Caenorhabditis elegans: one gene and its partners. The protein of the gene in region 2 interacts with the protein of the main gene of each other region in a biochemical or structural test. Each region holds a gene or a part of one and is shown on either strand. Other genes may lie near its edges.

The links.
Region 1: the proteins of flp-33 (region 2) and npr-12 interact in a test that uses a peptide from one of them, tested with the Caenorhabditis elegans proteins (one large-scale study listed by BioGRID).
Region 3: the proteins of flp-33 (region 2) and frpr-6 interact in a test that uses a peptide from one of them, tested with the Caenorhabditis elegans proteins (one large-scale study listed by BioGRID).

Annotation. Positions count from the first base shown.
Region 1 is NC_003282.8:6,934,629-6,939,669, forward strand, and holds the start of npr-12 (G-protein coupled receptors family 1 profile domain-containing protein), read right to left. Parts: upstream 3,021-5,041; coding exon 3,004-3,020; intron 433-3,003; exon of another isoform or gene 412-432; intron 1-411.
Region 2 is NC_003279.8:12,623,734-12,626,906, forward strand, and holds flp-33 (FMRF-Like Peptide), read right to left. Parts: upstream 1,506-3,173; 5' UTR 1,492-1,505; coding exon 1,337-1,491; intron 802-1,336; coding exon 696-801; 3' UTR 501-695; downstream 1-500. Other genes in the region: ntr-1 (G-protein coupled receptors family 1 profile domain-containing protein), read left to right, coding at 367-457; T07D10.3 (C2H2-type domain-containing protein), read right to left, coding at 3,009-3,173.
Region 3 is NC_003283.11:9,099,072-9,103,117, forward strand, and holds frpr-6 (G-protein coupled receptors family 1 profile domain-containing protein), read right to left. Parts: upstream 2,092-4,046; 5' UTR 2,063-2,091; coding exon 1,848-2,062; intron 1,799-1,847; coding exon 1,642-1,798; intron 1,531-1,641; coding exon 1,225-1,530; intron 1,180-1,224; coding exon 1,054-1,179; intron 1,005-1,053; coding exon 880-1,004; intron 831-879; coding exon 710-830; 3' UTR 521-709; downstream 1-520.

The DNA of each region.
Region 1 (5,041 bases), on a different chromosome or scaffold from region 2:
ACAAGAATAGAAAAGTAGCGACGTCGGGGGAAACGGAGACGATGGGTCCAAGGTTTCTCCAATTTTTTTGTTGTTTTTTTTCTTGTTGAAAAACAAGTGTCGGATGACTAGTAGATGAGCTTGAAACTAGAATCATACAATGGGAAGTATATTAAAAATATATTAGAGCAAATAATTTGCTTTTGAGAAATTTTTATCCGACAAAAATATACTTCACAAAAAAAATTGTGACACTCGGCGAAGTTTATGATAAATGTAACAGGATAAGAAGATAAACTTAATGCTTAATCCTAAAAATTAGAATTTTTTTAAATTTCTGTACAAGCCTCCTAAAAAATATTTTTATGTGCCGAATAAAAAATAAGCTGTTCCAAAAAACACATTAAAATGGAGGTGGATGATGCTTCAAGATGAGGAACAAATTAGGGCTTCATACCCCCACGAATTTGTTATGAGAAATTATAATGAAATACATGATTAAAATTGAAAAAAAAAGAAAAATTAATATATTCTTGGCACAGATCAAATAAAAAACAATTGACCAAAAACGGGGCTCTTGGAGTTTGTGATTACTGTTCGCTTGAGATGAACTTGCGCATTAACTTTGATTTTTCTAATGTGAAGGTCTACAATTAGGATGATGCTCTTGATAAGCATCATTCCAAAAATCTTCCAAAAAATTCTTTGTAAAAGTGACAAAAATTGACGATTAGTGGTTGTTATTTGCTAACTTCAGCAAGAAATCTCGTGTTCCATTTGATTCGTAATCTATGATTCTAAATCTTTCGTTGCTTCTTTTATTCAATTCCTCTTTTTCAGACTCCATTACCCTAAAAAATCCCAGCGGGGTTTGATGAAGAGACTAAAAACCAAAAAAGAACAATGAAATCCAGATAAGAATTGATTGGAAGGTAAATTGAAATTGAAATATATTTTATTGTGTGCTCTTTTTTTCTTTCTTTTTTATACTCAAAGGTGAAGAGCAAATTGCAATTTCTCTTCCTGCTCATTCCCCCTTCAATTTTTATTTAATTTTACGACAAAATGCTCTCAAAAGGTCCGCGAAGAGCAGGAAGTCAAGAATAAAAATAGAAAATGTAGGAAGAGGCGAAGAGAAATGAATTAAATATTAAAAGAGTCTTCAAAAATTGAGAAGATTAATACTATTGGTATAAGCTTCAAACTATGGGGATCAATTTGTCATGGTAACTAATTAGAGATGCTTGGTACACCCTGGTACTTAAAAACATTTGAATAATAATCAGAAATTATGAAAAATGAATAATTTATTGACGCCAATTGGGAATATAAAAGCTACATTTCTAGAGTGATATTATTTAACTCTTCCGCGACCAAAAATGCCTATTTGTCAAACTTCTTGAAAATGTGTTGCATGAACTGAGATTACAAAAATGCGTAAGGCACAAAAATCAAAAGCTGGAGCCCACGCTAACATATGAGGAAACATTCAGTAGGCAATCATGAGACAGTCAAGTAGTACGTATACGTCTGAAAATGTTACTAATTTTTTTTTTAAACTATAATTTTTCACTTAAAATATCTAGTTTGCTCACAGAAAATGATGACCTGATATAAAATAAATTCTTATCGTCACAGCACTCTTTTGAAACAAAATGTAAAAAAAGAAGAAGAAACGAAGAATAGGAGTCGATTAGCTCTTCTCAATGAAGTACCTCCTTCGAGGTTAGGAATTTGTAAAATTGAATGGGTAAGGTGAATTTGAGTGTGTTTCAAAACATAGAATACACAGGAAATGGACAAGAATAGAGTAAGTAAATGGAGGTGGGTGGGCATACGGAAATGCCAAATAAGACTATTAAATTGTAGGTGGACTCTTGGAAATTTAGCAAAACATTTTGTGAATAAGTTGAGCTTCAAATACCTAAGAATAAACTAACTAAATGATCTGGTCCCAATCAAATATCTATTGATTGCGAGATTTCCAAATTGGCGAAATATTGTCCGCTTGATGGTACAACTGTGTGATGTTATCGCAAAGTTATCACTCTGATCTCGGTACAGTAAAAATTTACAGGTTTCAATCAAGCTTTCAACTTTAAATTCAAACGATTAGGTACAGTTTGACAGCAAGATGATGAAAACTAAAATCTCAAAGCCTTCGAAAAATCTGGTATTTATACGCTCGAAATTTCTACGAAAAAAAACCCATAAGGAACTGGAATTTCGATATGCCAACCGTATCCTAGATTCTTTGGAAATTACTTTTCTGTACAAAAATTAATTTCAAAAATGTCAAACCATTTGTGAATGTCAGTCGACATTTCGTCTAGATGCCAACATCCTGTTTGTACGAATTCAATTTTAAAATTCGCATAAATTTTTTGTTGAAGCACGGAATAATGAAAAGCTATTGAAGAAACATAGTGAGGAAAATCTTGTGCAATGGGAATGGGAAAAAGATGAAGTAGGCATGATAAAAATGTTGAAATAAGGAAAAGAAAAGGAAAAAACAAATCAGATTTGCATAAATGATCAGAAAAATGTATTGAAAATCGAATGTCGGTGTTTGTAAAAAATCAAGATAACATTTGGAAGATGTTTCTTAGAAAGCTTAAATACAAAAATATTAATGAAGCATGGCCCACTTGAACGTTTTTAAGAAGAATTGGTACCCACATCATCAAGAAAAATACGAACAATTCCATGAAACCATGAAAATATTCCTGGGATGACAGGGTTCGTGAGCCATATATTATTCAAAATTGTGGAGGACCATTCTGGTTTTTGTGTTTTCGATTCTTTTTTGCAATTTGCAGGAAAGGAAGTAAAGAACACTTTTTGACCAAAAAAGAAGAAGACCACTAAATGTTCATGTATCTAAAGTTACGTCTTAAAGTTGAAACAAAAACAGCATCGTTGTTCTGCAACGTTCCTTTGATTTGTACACAATTTGAAACAGTTTTATTTTAGTTTATGCTACTGTCTGAAACTTTCTGTCAGAAACATTTAAAAACAACTTACGTTTTGTGAACTGTCATTATAGTGATGTTGCTATAAAATCGGCCTACAGATTCTTTTTAGAAAGATTCCAGATGGTGTTTACCTGTAAAAACAATTAAGATCAGTTTTTAAAGAGTGGTAAATACAAGTAGTATAGAGATAAGGGAGTACAAAAAGTGTACAGATTGAAAAATGTGATTGAAAGTTTTTTGTAACAACATATCAAGCCGCTTAAAAGGTGACTAATTTTTTCTGCCAAATTCAATAACGTGTTCCAAAAAAACATAGAACAGCGCAAAAGTCGTAAAAGAATTAAGTAGACAATGAATGTGAAAAAAAATGTCAAGAGACTCGTGGAAACAGCTCCGGAATGAATATAGTAGTGGAATGAGGAAAGAATCGTGGATATATACTAGAGGAAGAAGGAAAATGTCGTTGCATAATAAATACACCTTTCGGCACATTTGTTTTTACAAGTAATACGACTTTTAAAGATGTTTTTTCTTTGCTGGAAATAGTCACTGCCAGGTGAGTTAGCAAGAAAAAGGGTTCAATATTTTCCTTTATTTTTTTTGTCCTGAAACGTTCGAATATCATAGTTTTAAAATTAGAGAATTATTTAAATTCTTTAAACTATAGCCAAAAAGTGGTGAAACTCAGTTGTCCTATTATAATGTTGGAAAATTACAAAAAAAGGTAATTATTTGGTAATTTTGGAGTATTATAAATATTTTTAAAACGAATCCTCACGGGCGGTACTCCAGCTTTATTCAATCAAAAACATCAAAATAGTTGTAGAAGTTTCAATCTTTTTTTATTGAAAAAAGTTTGAAATTCAAATATTTAATGATGGAAATTAGTTGATTGTTTTAGAAAAAAAATTCCAAGAAAACTGTCAGGCATCTTAAACTTTCCCAACAAAACAATTATAGTTTTATGTAATTTCTAGCATTCTTAAGAACTCACAACAAATCAAGAAAATTTTTTATTTCTCACCTAGTTTCAGAAAGTTTATTTTTGCAGAATATTGCAAGAAGTATTCAAAGAATTACTTCTAAGAAGGTCCATTTCTGAACAAATTGAGTAACGTCTCATTGCTTTTTGGTGGGCGGACGATGGGTTCTAATGTAATTACTGGGTTCACATCGTTTGCAATGAGCACCAGTCGTTAAAATCTTTTCCACTAAAGCTATCGAAAAAAAGTGAAGCCGGAACACGAGATTTTGGAAAAAAATAATGGATTTAGATGACCAATGGGAAAATACGAATTATGAGGTTTTGATGAGTTGAGGAGATTCAGGACACAAAATCAAATCAACATTGTTCGATAAATATTTTTGTGTTTATAAAAATAAGATGAAACAGTACATTTTTTTATTTTCTCAGCTTTAAAAGTGAATACAAAACTATCGATGGGCTAGAAGAGGTTCATTTCAGCACTCCGTTATTCGTTGCAAATTTGTAAATAAAAGAAGTTTGAATAGAATTTCAAAGTATTTTGGCAACTCTGAATCTTAAATCTCAAACATGCGTTCTTTGAAAATAATAAGCTGTTCATCTTCGGAACCAAACTAAATTATATTTTCAGGCTTGGCAATTAGTGTTTTCAAATTGAAAAAAAATAGAGGACGATTTTAAATTCAATTAACAATAATAATAAAATGTTATAAACAGGAATTGCACAGTAGATTCTCAAACAAAATGAGATATTCTTGATCAAGAACAAATTTGTAATATGATCACCGCGAACATTTTAAGTGCGTTTTTTTTTGTTCAATGGTTAGAATGTAATTATATATTCTTTTTTTCATGAGCATGTTCAAAAAACAAAAGTGAGCGAAATTCCGTATAATTAGATATATGATAGGCGAGAAAGTTGACCGATCATCATGGTTAGAAAAAATCAAAAAAATTCCTTAATTTCAAATTTTTGAAAGAAATGCTAGTTGAAATTTAATTAGGTACGAACTTATCTTTCCAACTTTTGATTTTTTGTTGAATTTTCATTTTGATATTTAACCTAGTACAAGTGTTTCAAAGTATTTGTGCAACTAGCGCT
Region 2 (3,173 bases):
GTGAAACTGTACTACATTCTAATTCAAATATGCCTAGAAAGGCTTGAAATCGTTCCAAAATTCAAGGTTTCAATAAAAAAAATGTTGTCAAAACGCCTTAGAGTACCTGAGCCTGAGCCCCTTTGGTCAAAACTTGGCAGGGCTCCAGCCGAAACTTGACCTAGATCTCCCCTTCCCCATCCGACATCAATTTCCTCCCGCAAACAATAGCTATTCTGGTCTCCCCGACAATTGTATTTTGATGCCCGGTGACATGTCAATACGCACTTCCGATACACTTTATTATACCTTTCTTGTTTACACGTGGTTTTGTTCTTTCTTTGATTCTGGAAATTGTTGTGCAAAAAGAAAATGCTGAAATTCCAGTCGACCCGGCGGTGGAGCCGAAGAGGATCATGCTCCGACAGAGTTTACTATGGAGATGGCTGTGAACTCGGAATCCAATCGTTCTGATTAATTTATCAACTATTTATTTTTCTCACCCATATCAATAAAACATATTTGTCAATGCTCATCGTTTATTTTTGGCTTTAATTTTGCATACGAAGAGTGTCGGGGCCGCACCGATGTCAAGGGAAGAGGACAGAGAAGGAAAGAAGGGAACAGAGAAAACGACAGACACAGAGGAAGAGAGAGAAAGAGAGAGAGAACAAATTGTGAGAATTTCAAATTTCAGATTGAGCTGAGCATCAGGTTTAACCAAAACGTGGCTTTTGGATTCCGTCAATGGTGCGCAGGAATCCTGACATGTCCTCGAAGCCTTCCAGCGGGGCACGACGTTCCTTGGCTGGGAGGAATCGTCTGAAAATTAGGCTTTGAGAGAGGGAACGAGGACTGTTGAAAAGGAGCCTACTCACTAGAGCGAAGAGATAGTGAAGAGATCAGGAGCCTAAGCCTAAGCCTAGGCCTAAGCCTGAACCTAAGCTTAGGCCCAAGCCTGAGCCTAAGCCTAAGCCTGAGCCTAATCCTAGGCAAGGGTGTCAAGTCCCGTGTTCCGTTTGCCCCGTTGTCCCGTTTTTTGGGTGTTTTCACGGGAACGGGACGTCCCGATGTCCCGTTTTTGTAATTTTTACGGGACATTGACACCCTTGATCCTAGGTCTAAGCCTGGGCCTGAGCCTAAGCCTAAGCCTAAATCTTGGTCTAAGCCTGAGCCTAAATCTAAGCCTAAGCCAAAACCTAAGCCTAAGCATAAGCCTAAGCCTAAGCATAAGCCTAAGCCTAAGCTTACGCCTAAGCCAAATAAGTTTAAAAAAACATTATAGTTAGGGCAACGCGACTCATTCAGCAAGTCATATTTATACATCGAAATCTCCAAGATCTAGTTCCCAACTCACTTGATAAATTCCAGCTCGGCGTTGCGAGCTTGACGAGCTTCCTGTGCCAGCTCTGCGGCTCCACCATCGGCAAACGCGGCAAGACGTGGCTCTACCGAGAAGCCATGCACGGCTGACAGCAACACAATTGCGACGATGAGAATAAGAAAACGCATGGTAGGGGGACCCTGGAAGTTTTTATTTTTTTTTTGGGTGAAACAGTGAAAAAGCCCAACGAAACTTAATCTAGGCTCGGAACTCTAAAAAGCTCAACGAAACCCCCAAAAAGCTCGGAACTCGATTGACTTTCTGCTGGCTGCACAGCTTTTATACTATTCAGCTTACCTATATGTGCTCCAAAACCAAACACGCAGGAAACAATTAGAAGGCGTGGTCCCTCTCCGTCTTCTCCAAGAATGTAACAAATCTCAATCAAGACGGGTGACAAGTCAAGAGAGAGAGAGAAGGTAATTGTTCATGAGCTCTTTGATGGGCAGTTGTTTTCGGGTGGAAGCAAGTATAATGCTACAAATAATGGAGGAGGATGATGATGACAATGCCATGATGACGAAGTTCCTGTTTGGTAATTCTGGAAGGTCGTATGGAGTCTATTTCAGTTGTGACATTGGTTTGGTTCCGGTACCATGGCCAAGTGATATCATTTCAATATTTGTGTAGGCCAGATTTTCGATTCCTATTCCGGTGACCGGACCGGATCAAACTGTCACGCGATCTGTTCACTTTACTAAGAACCCATTATTCCTTAATCACGTGGATCGGCCGGTATCACACCTAGATGATATCATTCAATCGTTGTGTCACGCAATATGGGAAACCCATTAAGTTTTCCAGTGTAATTTGATTTTTTCTCGGAATATGTAACTTTAATTTTGGTGGAACAGGCACTTCCAGACCTTCTTTCGGCTAGATCCAAGTCCCGGTTGCTTTACCGGATCGGAGTGTCACGCGATCTGAAAATCTTAAAATTGAGACTTTTGGCAATGGATTTTTGTGCAAAAGAGCATGCCAGTCTGATCGAACTCGGAACTTCAGAGTCAATCCAGCTTGATTTAGCAGACACACTAAACACGCCAGTGTGGTCCATAGAAATGTGGTCTACGAGAATGGCGGGAGTTCAGATGCGGCGGACTTTTCAACTAATTTCGCATGTTTGAGAGTACACACAACTAAATCTGATTAAATCTGATGATCACATTTTTGTAGTTCCGCCGGGTCTTCTTATAATATACAGGTAATTTTGCTAAGAATCTTAGTTCTATGTACCCCTCCAGCCATTCGTAACGTCGATCTAGTATTAATGGGGCATATCGTGCAGTGACTCGGTTCTGGTAACATGACCGGCTCTGATTGTCACGCGATCAGGAGCCTAGAAGTTTAATGCAAGTTTCAGGTAATTTAACTAGATGTTCCGGCCACACCGCCGGATTCAAGTGTCACGCGATCTGAAAGTTCCTTATAGGTTTTTTGTGCAAAAAGTTAAGCAGAAGCTTGTCACGCAAGTTGGGTTTTTGGCAGTTTTTCTGGAAAATTTAAAATGTGAACTTTTACTTGGCCGGAGTAAAATTAGGATAACTGGATTGAATATGGTTCAAGCCCTAAAAGTGTATAGTTATGGTCTTTATGTAGTTGAAAAGGTATAAATATCATTAAAACAAGCAAGTTTATCAACTTCCTACATAATCTTCCAAAAGTAGTCCACTACTTCCAATAAGAGCTTGGCCATCTGTCGTGGCGTAAACGAGGAATGTTTCAGTGGGCTTGTTCGCTGATAATTTGTGAATTTCTCGTTGATAAGACGTTGATTCACATCAATGATCACCACAATTATGGATCGGTA
Region 3 (4,046 bases), on a different chromosome or scaffold from region 2:
AGTAGATGAACTTTAAAATTCACAATTGCATGTTACGATATTTTGAACAAATCAAAACCAATCTATATTTAACATTTGGTTATTTTTTTAATTCTAGTTCCTAAAGATCACAAGTCCTATTTTTTTGGTTTCATTTATTGCATCTTTTCTTTTCATTTGCTCCGAAGTAATCAAAAGCATTCGAGGAACAAACTTTTGAGATTCTAAATTTCCCATGATTACCTTCTTTTATTCTCATAAATAATTTTTCCATCTTTTGGTTTTTACTTCTTCATTTTCAATATTTTCCTTAAACTATGCATTAAAAACGTGCAGGATGCTTCGCACTTTCTGGAGGTTTCCAAGAATGTGGCTTCTGTTAGTATATTTGGAAAGTTGCATGATTGTTTGAACTTTAGACCTTTAACTTTTGATTTTTGTACCGAGATCACTATCTCAAAAGCTAAAATTATATATTCATACTTTTCCTTAACCAGACAGTTTGTTTCCATATATATCGTCTAATTTTTAGCATATCATAAATAAAATTCACAACATTTTATTTCATTGAACCGTTCGTAAGATATAGGAAAACAACTTTCGGAATGATTATTATGACGCCGAAGAGGATGGCAAGCAGGAACAAAAAGATCCAAGGAAGTAAAAAAGAAATATCAGAAACAAAAGATCAAGAGATTGGGAGACTACTATATATCCTATTTTCAGATTATTATGCCATTGATGTTTTTGGTGATGTTTTTGCCAGTGAAGTACATATTGAATCGGATTTTTGAAGAAGCTTCCGTTTGTTCAAGTCTGTGAGGCTATTATCCGGAAGGTTGCTTCGTTTTCTAAAATAATATTTAATTGAAAGAATAAGATTTTGATTTTAAAATTTACTTGAACAAATAGCACAAAATATTCCTGAATCTAGCCGAGAAAAAGTAATATATGAAGAATGTCGTGCCAATATGAATGACGATGAGAATATTAGATACTTCAATCATCACTTCGAAATATTCATTCTGAAATGACATGTTCAGATTATTTTATTTAAATCTTTTAAAAACGTACGTGTCGATTGAGAAAATCTTTAAAAATGCTCTCGAACAATTTGAGAGCCATACTGAAAAAGTGACAGAATCCAAAGAGAATAGTCACAACCAACAACATCACAGTTGTATTTTGCTCTTTTTGAAGCTGGAAATATAATAATAATAGAATACAAACGTGTAAAATATTTACCGAAGTCGTCAAAAGTGCTCTCTCCTTCCTTGATTTTCTCAGTTCATTGATGACTTTCATGTTTGCAATGAACATTATAACAAATGGCAGAAGGTAGTCAAAAATGACAGAAATGATGATAAAATATGAAATGTAGTACCACCAGTGCTCTTCTGCATCCAAAATTCCACGTTTTGGCCAGTATCCCAATGCATCCGAATAGCCAATTTGGTATTCAAAGAATTTAGGGAAGTTCAGAATAATTGAAAATGTTATGATGGCTATAACAATTCTAACTGAGTTTTTGAATGTGCACCAAATGTGGACCTGTAAATATTTTCAAATTAGATTTTCTGTGTTGAGATTATAATTTGAAATAAAATTCTGATGTGAATAGTTTCCAATTGTCTATTGACAATTTCACTTCACAAGACTTACCTGTAACGGTCGGCAGACTGCAATCCATCGTTCTACAGTAATCACCACCATTATATAAAGACTTGCAGTTTTTGCAGTCATGCATAACGGATAGAAGAATTTTGTTGAAAATGCAATAAACATACGGCGCATTGACCAAGCACCATAGACATTGTCCCTGAAAACAAGATAGTTAAAACCAATTAAAAAAAATATTGCAAACTAACCAAATAGGCAAATATGAGATGCTATATAGTGGAAGCGCAAAAAGAAGCACAAAAATGTCACAAATTGAAAGTGAGTAGAGTAAGAAGGCGACAGTTGACTTTCGCATGTTTGGAGTTGTGTAGACGTATAGGGACAATCCATTTCCAACTAATCCAACTAGTATTATTGGAAGATAAATCATTGAAACATATTCGGGCCATCCAGTCAATTGCATATTGTTCGAGAAATTGAATCTGAAAATTGTCGATTGAAAATTTTCGAAATCTTTTGTAATTACAGAGCTGGAGAAATGTCATATACACTTGTCGAGCAAAGAAACATTTTCCCTAGAAAAAAAAACGAAAATAAGAAAATTGATTTTCAAGAGAGCTACAAAACCAGGAAACATGTAAAAAAGAAGCATCGGGAATAAATATTTTTTGAGCACACCTATTGTGCTCCGAACTCTTGCATTATTTCCACTTTATTCAAAATATTTTCAAAAACAACTAACACATCCCATCACAGGCGGAAGATTTTTATATGAAAACAGAACGAAAAGCAATAATTAAACAAAAAGTATCATTTAGTCAACTGACGTTACTTGTCTGTCTGGAGTTGACAAAAAGAACTTTCATAAGGTACTTTGAAATGACAAACTACAAAAAAGTGGAAGTTGGAGTTATAACATATTTACTGAAAATGAGGAATAAGGAAGAAGAAGCGTCTTATTCTCATTATTAAAATGTATTAATAGAGCGGAAAAGGGAGAATCTGGGTGGAACAACTCTCAAGAATAATGAGAGTTTTCAAAGATTTTTGAGTTTTTAAAATATATCCAAAATCTGAAATAGATAGTTTATAAAGCTCAAAAAAGGAAATGCATCGATTACCTGAAGACAAGAGGAAATGAGATAGGAAATTGCATCCAGCAAAGTGCACGAAGTTAAAAAAATGTTATTGCAGAACACTTTCTTGATTGAAATTTCAATGTTTTTAGATTGAAAACAAGAATATTCTGGATTTCTTTCTGTCATGAGCTCCAACAATGACATTAAAGTTGATTGATTAAATTGAATTAAAAAATAATAATTTATATTCATGAAAATTTATTACAAGCTTGAAATGGCAAAAAAATTATGAACAGACTGGAATAAAAACCCAGTTTATATCATGATAAAACATACATAGTTAGTGACGTGGAATTGTACTCTTTTATATCCAGAGGGCGGATATGGTAGAAATAATAAATAGTGATGAGGTGTTTTTATGAACAATATACTACAAGTTATTTATCGCTTTGTTTTTATTTTGTATTTTACTGGGGCACAAGTCTGAAACTTGCTTTGAAAAACGTGATACTATTTCAAAATGATGATATGGAAACTTTATAAAATTAACATTCGAAAAGTTCTTAAAAATGTACTATTATTGTACAGTTATAAGCTCTTTGCTTACAATTAGCTAGAGATGCAAAAGGATTAGAAAGTGAACTTAAATCCCAGACCGCTTATTTTTCAGACGACCTGCCAAATAAAAGACCCATTATATGCTCAAAGTTTTCAGGGACCGTTTAAAACTCAATTGACTAGGTATTACGCAAGATAAGTAATGAGGAAACAGCTGAAACATCTTGAAACCTTCAATCAAAAGTCTCGAACTTCAGCTTGATGACGTGGCAGAAAAAACGAGTTGCGTGATAAATAGAAATTATCAAGACAGTTTTGTGGTATGTAATTAGTGGTTGAAAGAACAAATGGGCGGGACTAAGTTTGTTGAAATCAAAGCCAACAAAATTGCTTCTGAGAAAGAACTGAAATTCAATAAAGCACGAGAAGAGTTCGACGAACAGAATAGAAAATACAACTTATTTTGGGGTCATCCCGGTTTTTCAAAGATTTTTCAGGGTTCTCGCGCCACTAATAACTGATTCATCATTTTCTCACCAACATGTTCGATGATTTTTGAGTGCTCTCAGAGCTTTATTGAGTGACGGAGAAAAGGAAGGATTAGGAACTTGTTGTGGTAGTATGCAAAGATGTTTTATGTCAAATGACCTTCTTAAAAAGAGTATGTTCTGCATTTTATTTCTTGGAAAAAAACTAGATACGTCCAAAACTAATCTTTAATTCGAACGTGCATATGTATAAAAGGAGCGTTTCATAAAATTTTGAGAAACCCTCTCTAATCTTGTTTTCACAGAAAAATGTCGAAATTTT